2 linked regions of the Cricetulus griseus genome follow. Each later gene encodes a partner of the first gene's protein in a complex. Links are inferred from orthologs where the notes say so. Each region holds a gene or a part of one and is shown in the gene's direction. Other genes may lie near its edges.

Region 1 (5,881 bases):
CCAGCACTCCAGCGGTAGGGTTGGCACAATCTGGAGATCTTGGGGCTTGCTGGCTAGTGTCTGGCCAAATCAGAGAGGCAGCTGGGGGCAGTGACAAAAAGCAAGCAGCCTGTACCATGTCCTGAGCTCTCTGAAGGAACCTCGGATGCAGCCAGTACTGGGTTAAGAACTGTGGTATCCCACTGCCAAAGGGAAACTAACACGCATAAAGATCAGGGCCGTGTTCAAGGCCCGGGCTGAGAAGAGATGCCCAAGCGTGCTAGCCTCCAGTGGACAGAGTAACACTGAGACCCACTGATTGCTCTGTCTTGCAGGACGCCCACCCCCAGGGATTTGAAGAGGGGGCTCATCACCCCAACACACCTGCCATAAACTATCCCCTTGCTGTCACCAGCTATGTCTGACCTCTGACCAAACAAAGTTTGCAGCCTGCCTTCCTTTCTTCCTTTCTTCCTTCCTTCCTTTCTTCCTATCTTCCTTCCTTCCTTCCTTCCTTCCTTCCTTCCTTCCTTCCTTCCTTCCTTGCTTCCTTCCAGAGCCTGGTTATGGGGAGGGAAGGAGGTGGGTTTTGCCAACACAATATGTGGTAAAAATATCTCTCTTTTAAAAGAGAGATCACAAAACCTGAAGACTCGAGATCAGTAACATGTAATTATCCCCTGCTTTGGGCGGAGAGTTCTAATAGTTTCTAGAAAAACATGAGCCATTTGGAAGGAGCGTGCTCTCCAGGATAAAGAGAGCAGCTTGGCATGCCATTTGTATGTCTGGGCCCTTCCTAGCCTGGAGGAGGAAGCACCTACCTGCTTTCTTTCCTTTCTTCCCTCCTTCCCTCCCTCCCTCCCTCCCTCCTTCCCTCCCCATTGGCCTTGAACCCCATCAGACTCAGAGTAGCATCTGCTAGAGAAAGAAGCTGGGAAATGCTGGGTGGGGCAGGAGACGGCCTCCATGCAGAGGAAGAGCCTTGAGTTGACAAGGACACCTAGGTCTCTGCCAACATCTGTTGCGATAGATATTGCTGTGATCTGAAGTAGTGTTTGGGGCCTGCAGGATGTGATCTTTAAAGGGAGATGTCCATGGTGCTTGTTGAGTTTTTCCGGCTGTGATAAACACTATGACAGAAACAAACAAAACCCAGCTGGAGAGGAAAGGGTTTATTTCTGCGTACAGTTCACAGCCCATCTCAGAAAGAAGAGCTGTGAGAACCCGAAACAAAGATCGTTGAGGATGTTGCTTCCTGGCTCATGCTCAACCAGCTTTTTATTCACAGCCTAGGAATGATGCTGCCCACGGTGTTCTGGGTCCTCTCACACCAACCGTGATAATTCTCTCACAGACACATCCACAGCCAATCAGACCTGGGCAACCCTGCAACCGAGACTCCCTCAGATGGCCCTGTACTCAGCTGCCTGCTGAAACTGCCTAGGATACCCGTCCTTTGCTCCTTCCTGCCAGAAGGAGAGCATGTGTGACAGGTGGAACTCCAGCAACCCTTGAAAAACTTAAGCACAGAGGCTACAAATGGCAGAGCAACAGTTTAAAAAGAAGCCGGGTGGCTGCACCAAATCTGGAGTACCTGGAGTCTTGTGTCATGCACAAGAGGGAAAAGGTCCATCTGCCCAGTCCACAGCTGTGGAGGCTTGGGATAATCCCAGCATTGAAAATTGGCTTGAGGTTTTTCTTAAACAAAGACAAAGAATAAGAAATAATCCAAAAGTTTAGAAGGATTTTGGCCAGGCAATGGTGGAGCACGCCTTTAATCCCAGCCCTCGGGAGGCAGAGGCAGGCGGATCTCGGTGAGTTCCAGGCCAACCTGGTCTACAGAGCGAGTTCCAGGATAGGCAGGGCTACACAGTGAAACCTTGTCTGGGGGGACGAGGTGGGGGGTTGTCCAAGAGGTATTGTGATACAGTCCTGCCACTCAAGAAATGATAATGGAGGGGTCAAGAATCTGAATTCAGGCTTGGCTACAGAGTGGGACCCTGTCTCAAAAATTAAAAACAATAAAGAATAGGGAATGCTGAGATGTTCACAGCAGAACCCCAGTGTCAGGTTCTCATGGCATGTCCTGAAGCCCAGCCCTCTAGGGCCAGAGCCACCTTGGCCAAGGACCAAGCAAGACCCCCAGGCAAGAGCCGGTTGATGAGAGGGCACCACCTAGTGGTTGGTCCCCAAATAGCCCCTCTAGGGAGCCTGATGTCCCTCAACTGGCTCAGCTGAGTGTTTAAAGGGTGACCTTATTTATTTGGGGGGCTCAACGGGCTGTACAATTTTCTGTTTCCCTTAGCTGCATCTGCAGGCTCTGGGTTTCCCCCTGGAAGTCATAAAAATCATTTGGAAATTTTAAAGTTTCCCCATGCACAGGCCGGTGGAACTGGCTGTGTGGAACTGGCCTGGCCGTGGCCTGTCCAGTGACAAGGCTGACTGGGGACCTGCAGCTTGCTTTGCAGACATTTTGCAGGTACATATATACCTCCTTCTGGTCTCCATTTCCTGCTCCTGTCATGCCCTATGCACTAATGCTAACCGGTGCCAAGGACCTCCCTCCTGCAGCTGGGACCCAGATTCAGGGTTATTGTAGGCTGAGTTGTGGGCACGAGGCCATCTCTGTGAGCTCAGTCCCTTAGTCTGTAATTGGAACAGAGTGATGTCCGAACTGTTCGAGGACCACTGACCTCTTTGAGAATGTATGAAAGTGAGGGGCTCCTTTTCTAGAAGGTATGTGGATGACAGTACTAGTCCTGCCCTGTCAGCAAGTAGGGAATGCGCAGTAGGTACCTTTTTCCTAGTGGGAGTCCAGATAGGCAGTTCCCACCCCAGAGGCCAAGACTCCTCTCATCCCCGTCATTTATTCAGCTCCAACTTGCTCACCCCACCCTGATTTCAACGTTTCTTTCGAGAACCACCAAGTTTCATTTTCTCTTTCTCCAGAAAGCTGGGTGGATGGAGCCAGATGGGTGCTCGTTTCCGGGGTGGAAACATATGGTGTCTGCAGCTCCAAGAAGCCGCTCTTCTTCTGTGGACACGGCCTCAGGCCTGGCCACAGTTCGGGAATCTGCCACCCCCCGCCCCAAAGGTGCCCTGAGGTTGCCATGAGCATGGCAGAAGCTGCTGTTGATCCGAGCACAGGAGGTAAGCCGGGCGAGCCTCTTCCTTCCCCCACGCAGCGTGGACCCTGGGCTGGTTTCTAAGGCTCCTTCTAATTCTTTGCTTGGCCCAGACAGCAGCAATATTCTGAGGACATCAGAGCTCAGGAAGCAGGCACCACAAGAAGCTAGCTTGCTTCGGGGACCCTGTGCGTCACACTTTGACCCTTGCTTAGGCTGGTTCCTAACAGCCCTCAGGCACAAGTGGTAGCTCTCACCTCACAGACAGGTCACTGAGGCCTTCGATGGGCTTCAGGCTCTGAACTGTGAGAGGGGACTTTGTTTTGATAAGAAGATTTGGCTCTGATTCTATGTTCATGCTCTTCTCTCCGCTACAGGGCAGTGCGAGGCTGTGGGTGAAAGACTGTATGAGGCGAGGCTATCGGGGCCGTGCAGCTGTGGACAGGATTTACTTTACTGCTTTTCTTCATTGTTTCGAAACTTTTTTTAAAGATATGCTTATTTACTGTGTATACAGTGTTTTGCCTGAATGCACGGCTGTGCTCTGGTCAAAGAAGCACCAGGTCTCATTCTAGGTGATTGTGAGCCGCTCCGTGGTTCCCGGGAGCCACACTCAGCACCTCTGGAAGGGCAGCCACTGCTCTTAACTCCTGAGCCATCTCTGCAGCCCCCAAAGTCACCCTTTTCCATTCTCGCACCATGCTAGGGCATGTTGCTCAAAGGCAGAGGAGCCAGGGCAGTGGCAGGTTCAGGGCCAGGTGGAGAAGACCAGAAACTAACCCTCACCTGGTCCCTGTGGCTTCCTAATACTCTCCTTGCCAGCCAGTCACCACCATCCATTCCTTCATGCTCACCCTTTGGAGAAAGCTCTGCCTGTGTGCCCTTAGGAGTCAGTGGGAGAAGGGAGGGCAGGAGAGCCCACTGCAGGACATACACGCCCCAGCAGAGAAAAAGCAAGCAGAGTGGAAGCCCAGCCCTATAATCCCAGCAGGGGAGGGGGTGGCTGAGGCAGGAGGATTGCTGTGAGTTCCAGGCCAGCCTGAGATATATGGTGAGACCTTGTCTCAAGAGGAAAAACAAAGGAAGGTAGAAGCAGGCAGATGGAAGGAACCAGAAGGAGCACGAGGTGGAACTTGGGTGGCTCTTGGGGTCAGGCGCAGAGGAGGCTGGGCAGGGAGCAGAGGTCCATCGGATCTCTAGGTAGAGGGTGCTGGAGGGAACCATTCTGGAGTTGGTGGTCACCTGGGAGACTAGTAATGCTACCAGGAAGATGTCATTGAGGCTGGGGTAAGGGAGAAAAAAGTAAGTGGGAGGTATCTGAGCTGCGTTTTCAGGGCTCCTGATCCACCTGGAATGGGAAGGGAGACCTAGGAATGCCCATGGCATCCATGGGAGATGGAGAGAAAGGGACTCTCCATACAGGCTGGAAGAGGCACCAGGCAGCGTGGAGGGGCTTCCGGGCCAGGCTTGGCTCCATCATCTGAGAGCTGAGGGCTCCTACCTGTCTGGGGTTCCACACCAATACACAGGACAGCATGTACACTCCTCTGCCGTATGAGTGCATCCCACCATTCAGCCATGGGGCCAGGGTCCACTCAGTCTGACACTCTTGCCTCTCAGTGATTCCTCGATGCTGTCGGCTCTGGGTTCTCGTATCTTTCTTACCTCTGGAGATGGGTGCTAGCCTCCAATGGGGGCTGGGCTTGACTCTTCTCTCTGTTCCTCCCCCAAGACAATCTGGAGCAAACGATCCTACAGATACTGAGTGGAGCCGGCGGCTCTGTGAAGCTCCCCAAGCTGGTAAAGGAGTGCCAAGTGCCCAAGAAAACACTCAACCAAGTCCTTTACCGCCTAAAGAAGGAGGGAAAAGTTCACTCACCAGCCCCTGCCACATGGTGTTTAGGCAGGGATGCTCCTGGAGATGAGGCTCCTGCAATCCCTGAGGACCCCACTGCCCAGCCCACCCTCGGTAATCTGTCATTTGGGGGCACAGCAGACTCCCCTCAAGGGCCATCTTGACAATGGGCAAGTCCAGGTTCAGGCTTGGCTTTCAAATCTGAGCTCTGCCATCCTCTCTTTATCTTTTGATTTCTTTTCACCAATAGGGCTTGTACGTGGTAGGTGTGAGGTAGACACTAGCAATAGTAAAGGCACAATCCAGGCAATTGTCACAATGACAGTAGGGATTCACTCGGAGCCACTGAGCAGAGAGGGCTCACAGCTCCATTGCTGATGCTGTACCCAAGGCCACCTAGCCTTCAGCAACTCCTGCAGTTGGAGCCAGGAGAGGAGGCAGCCTCAAGACCCTGCCCTTCTGCAGCCAGCAGCTGTGACCCAAGCAGATGTGAAACCCTGGGACCCCAGCCTAATGTCCTGTCCCCTAGCTGTCCTGTGGAAGTGTTCCCGTTGCTCAGTGGATCAGAGCGTCTCCTGTCTCCAATGGACACATTTTTCTTCCTCCAGCCCCAAGACCCTAAAGTTGTAGGCACAACTCCAGGGAGTCCTGGCCTTCAGCTCAGTGCACACCAAAGGCCTCCCCAAACTACTCTTAGGGGCACAAGGGGAAAGGGTGTTTGGGATCATGTCCACCACCGAGGCTTCGCAAGAATCTCAGAGGCCAGACTCGGTGTCAGAAGCCAAAGGCTCCAAATGGATAAGAAGTGCTTTATTTTCCAGGCGCTGACACGCCTGAGCCAGCTTCATGCACATATCCGGTCTCCAGGTGACACTGTACCCAGTAGGAGCATGGGCCTCAAACAAAGCAAGACCATGCCCCT
Region 2 (4,166 bases), on another chromosome or scaffold:
AAAGCTGGGAGAACTCCCATGATTAAGAAGCTGAAGACTCAGCCTCCTGGAACAATTGTGAATGGGATTTTTAAAGTCCAGAAGGTAAGTCCATGTATGCAATTCTGTATTGACTGGGAAAAAGAATACAATAGTTATTCTAAGCTTTAATGGAATTCTAGAAATTATGTTTCAATGTTTTTCTTCCTATATAAAATATGAAGCAATTAAAATCAATTAAATAATTGGGTTTAAACAATTTTAACAATCAGAAAAAACAATTTAATAAAATTAAGATTTGCAGGATGAGAATTTGCCAAAACTTGTGGGCAAAGCTCACAAAAGCTTTATTTAATATGTATTTTTTTTTGTTTTGTCTTTTGAGACAGAGTCTTATACTGTGTAGCTTTAGCTGGTCTGGTACTTACCAAAATTCCCCTGCCTCTGCCTCCTGAGTGTTGGGATCCACATGCATGCCACAACAGCCAGTGAAGGTTTATTTTGAAGCCACTTTTATTTATGTTTTTACCCTTGTAACCTCTGAAACACAGACACAGCTATTTCCACCTCTGTGTTGCTGTTACACACTTATTACCATCCACATTCTAAGTCACTTTTTGTTTGTTTGTTTGTTTTCAAGACAGGGCTTCTCTATAGGTTTTGGAACTGTCCTGGAACTCTCTTTGAAGACCAGGCTGGCCTCAAACTCACAGAGATCTGCCTGCCTCTGCCTCCTGAGTGCTCAAAGTCTCTTTTGTTTGGAGCAGATGTGTGCCCATTGATGAACTAGAGGATTGATGAGCAGGGGTTAGAAGACCTAGTATTGAATGAAGATAATGGAAGAGTTAGCATGAAATCCTAGCTAGATGCCAGTTGTCTTTGTCAGGGTTTCCGTTGCTGTGAAAAGACACCATGACCCCAGCAACTCCTTTTTTTTTTTTTTTTTTTTTTTTTTTTTTTTTTTTGGTTTTCCAAGACTGGGTTTCTCTGTGTAGCTTTGAAGCCTATCCTGGCACTCACTCTGGAGACCAGGCTGGCCTCAAACTCACAGAGATCCGCCTGCCTTTGCCTCCCGAGTGCTAGGATTAAAGGTGTGCGCCACCAACGCCCGGCTACCCCCCAGCAACTCTTATAAAGGAGAACATTTAATTGGGGCTGGCTTACAGGTTCAGAGGTTTACTCCGTTATCACTATGCCAGAGAGCTTGGTGACATTCAGGCAGACACGGTGCAGAAGAAGTAAGTAGCTGAGAGTTCTACATCTGGACCCACAGGCAGCAGAAAGAGAGAGTGAGCCACTGGACGCGGCTTGAGCTTCTAAAACTTCCAAGTCCAACTCCAGGGACACATTTCCTACAGCAAGATCAACAAGGCCACATATCCTAATTCTTTCTAATAATGCCACTCCCTATGAACCTGTGGGGGCCTTTTTCATACAAACTACCACACAGGAATCAGGAAAAACTATGCTTGTGTGAAAAATTTTCTGGCCTAGTATAGATTCTAGTACAGGGAACTTGTTGATTTCTGCACTCAGTAGTCAAATGACCTATCTAGTCCCATCAGAAATGGTAACAGGAGAAAATTATCTTCCTTGGAAATTTCAAGCATAAAAATACCTCTTTTTAACCTCTCAATTTTGAATGTTCTGTTTGGTCAACTACCCATAATGTCTAATCATGTGGTCAATAAAACTGACTGTCAAATGCTGTTCATATTTTATGTATGTCACCAGCATCTGGTCCCTTATCATTTGGACTTGATTGTGAATGATTTCTTGTCCTTGACTTTTAACTTTTAAATTTCTTCACTAGGTCTTTTACTGTTAGTTAGTTTTTCTCTGGACTTGTTTCATTAAGTGACCTTTCTCCTAGCCACAAGGTAGCCACCTTTTCCCCTGACTGCCTCCTGTATACTGGCCCTGGAGAAGACCTATCTTCCCTGTCTACTAGTTGTTTCTGTGAGCCATCCTGGATTCCCAGAAGGGAAAAAAAGCCTGGGACTAGAAAGATGTACACAAGAAGCAACATGCTTTTAGTAAGACTCTCCCACCCCCTTCAATGGGACTTGCTAATATCCGTTAGGTAGAATCCTTCTAGTTTGGAAGCTGGAATTGCTCCTCATGTTTCCTTTGGAAAGCTGCTCCTGTCTCCTCTGACAATTGATGTACATGCTGCCCTTCCTTAGTCATCTCAGCAGAGCTTGGTTGTTGTCTTCCTTTCACAGATAATAGAGCAAAGAACGGATAGAGTCCTATATAGAATACATGACAACACAGAGGAGGAGATGGACGTGCTGGTGCTTGGAAACCAGAACCAAGTAAAATGCGAAGAAGGAGATAAACTTAGACTCATCTTCTTTGAGGTGTCAAAAAGTGGAGAGAAAATACAGCTGAAATCGGGACCCCACAGCTTCTTTAAGGTTTGGAAGGATGTCAGTTCCTAGAAGAGGACATTATTTTATGTTTTCTGTCAGAAATCTGAAAAGAGGCTGTTGAACAGGATATGATAGAGAAGAGCCCCAGTATGTAGTGAGCACATCTGCATCTCACAGATCTCACAGAACCAAGGAGCCTGGCTTTAGAACATTCACATCCTAGGCACACAATTACAAACTCAAAGGTTTCACATACAATTTTCTCCCCCTCCCATCCTTTCAACTCCACAGTGAGTTTTCTTGAACACAGTCTAAGTCTAATGAAGGCAACTTGTGCGAAGTTGCACAAATATTGTGACAGATGCTGTTAGAAGTCAAGTCAGACTGTAAACTCCTGGAAAACAAATTTCTGAGGCAGTCCAACCATTCGTGCATATATCATAGTCCAGGGCAGTTAAGTAAGCTATCACACCCTTGTTGTTATCCTATAGACACAGCTTTGCTGTCTCCCCCTCCACTCAACAGTGTTTGTATGGACTGTTGTCTCTCTCTGTAGGTTTTATATAGAGACCTGAGAAAACTTTATCTATGCTCTTATTATGTAGGGATGTGTGTTTGGAGCATATATACTTCAGGAGAGTCATCTAAGAGTGAAGGAATTAAGGGGCTACGGGGGAGGGTGAGTAGATACAATAAGAAGGGAGGTACATTCCAGAACACAGGAACTGGAAGTAGAGAAGACTTAATTTATCAATGACATCTCAGTCTACATCTTTTTCTCCACCTAGGTTATTAAGGCCACAAAGCCGAAAAAATGAGAAGAAAAGTGTGCATTGAAGTCAACTCATCTAAAAGGCATTTTGTTGAAGAATTTTAATACTGCTTCTTGAACCAGATTGAGTTGCCTGAGGAGAGCAGTTTACAGCCTCATCATCTTATCCTGTTAGTTCAAAAAGGATAAATACTACAAAAATACTCTGTCAGATGTATAGCAAAACAATACAAATACAAAAATCTAATAAAATCCCAACACCAGGCATGAGAAACCCTCTTATGAGTAGTTGGTCAGGGTTGTCTAAGAGACTCCCCAAACATTACAGGCTATTCTATTGCTATTGTCCCCCAGAGGTGATGATAAGTTTATATTGCTGAAGATACCATGTACTTCAGACATGAGATTCAGAGGCTTGAGCTTTAACTGACCTGACAATCTTCTACCCAAGTATTGATTATCTTTCATGATCACAGAAGGTGCCATACAAGCTTCCAAAAGAGGGAAGCAACCATCAGTAATACCCAGCTGTGATGCCTAAGAACCATAAAAAAATGACCACCATGGCAAAATAACCTTAAGGGTGAATTAGTGTCATGAATACCTTAGTGGTAACCAACAATTCTTTAGTTGGACTTAAGACCCACTCAACAAGAAAGAAATCACTCCTGAAACCTAGCCAGCTCCCCCGGACTAGTGAACTGATTTTAAAGGAGAACCTATTACCACCACTTTACTAAACCAGCATAATCCCTAACTGCACTCTAGGTATTTGTCCTTATATACATATATAAGTGTAGTCCTTATCTCCCATGAAGAAAATTTCTCCTTGCAATAGATAGAGACATCGCAGAAAATCACAACCAGCAAGATATAGCGTTGTGTATCCCAGCTCTAGTGGACATATCTACAACAGAACTCTTGCATCTAAAATTCAGGGAACATTCTAAAAGAGGAGACAGAAAGCTTGTCACTGGTGGCCGTGTCAGAAAGAGCATCAGGTGGCACTCGATTTTCAGGCATTCGGCTCACCACAATGC

The links. Proteins that work in one complex are often made in the same cells at the same time.
Region 2: Zbp1 (region 1) and interferon-inducible protein AIM2 share a complex: the UniProt entries of both Homo sapiens proteins name them as parts of the AIM2 PANoptosome complex. The link is inferred for Cricetulus griseus from reciprocal best matches to the Homo sapiens genes ZBP1 and AIM2.

What each region holds. Positions count from the first base shown.
Region 1 is NC_048599.1:6,097,464-6,103,344, forward strand, and holds the start of Zbp1 (Z-DNA-binding protein 1), read left to right. Parts: upstream 1-2,583; 5' UTR 2,584-2,715; intron 2,716-2,928; 5' UTR 2,929-3,089; coding exon 3,090-3,129; intron 3,130-4,836; coding exon 4,837-5,073; intron 5,074-5,881.
Region 2 is NC_048598.1:19,526,262-19,530,427, reverse strand, and holds part of interferon-inducible protein AIM2, read left to right. Parts: coding exon 1-84; intron 85-2,204; coding exon 2,205-2,399; intron 2,400-3,142; coding exon 3,143-3,172; 3' UTR 3,173-4,166. UniProt on the Homo sapiens protein: Sensor component of the AIM2 inflammasome, which mediates inflammasome activation in response to the presence of double-stranded DNA (dsDNA) in the cytosol, leading to subsequent pyroptosis.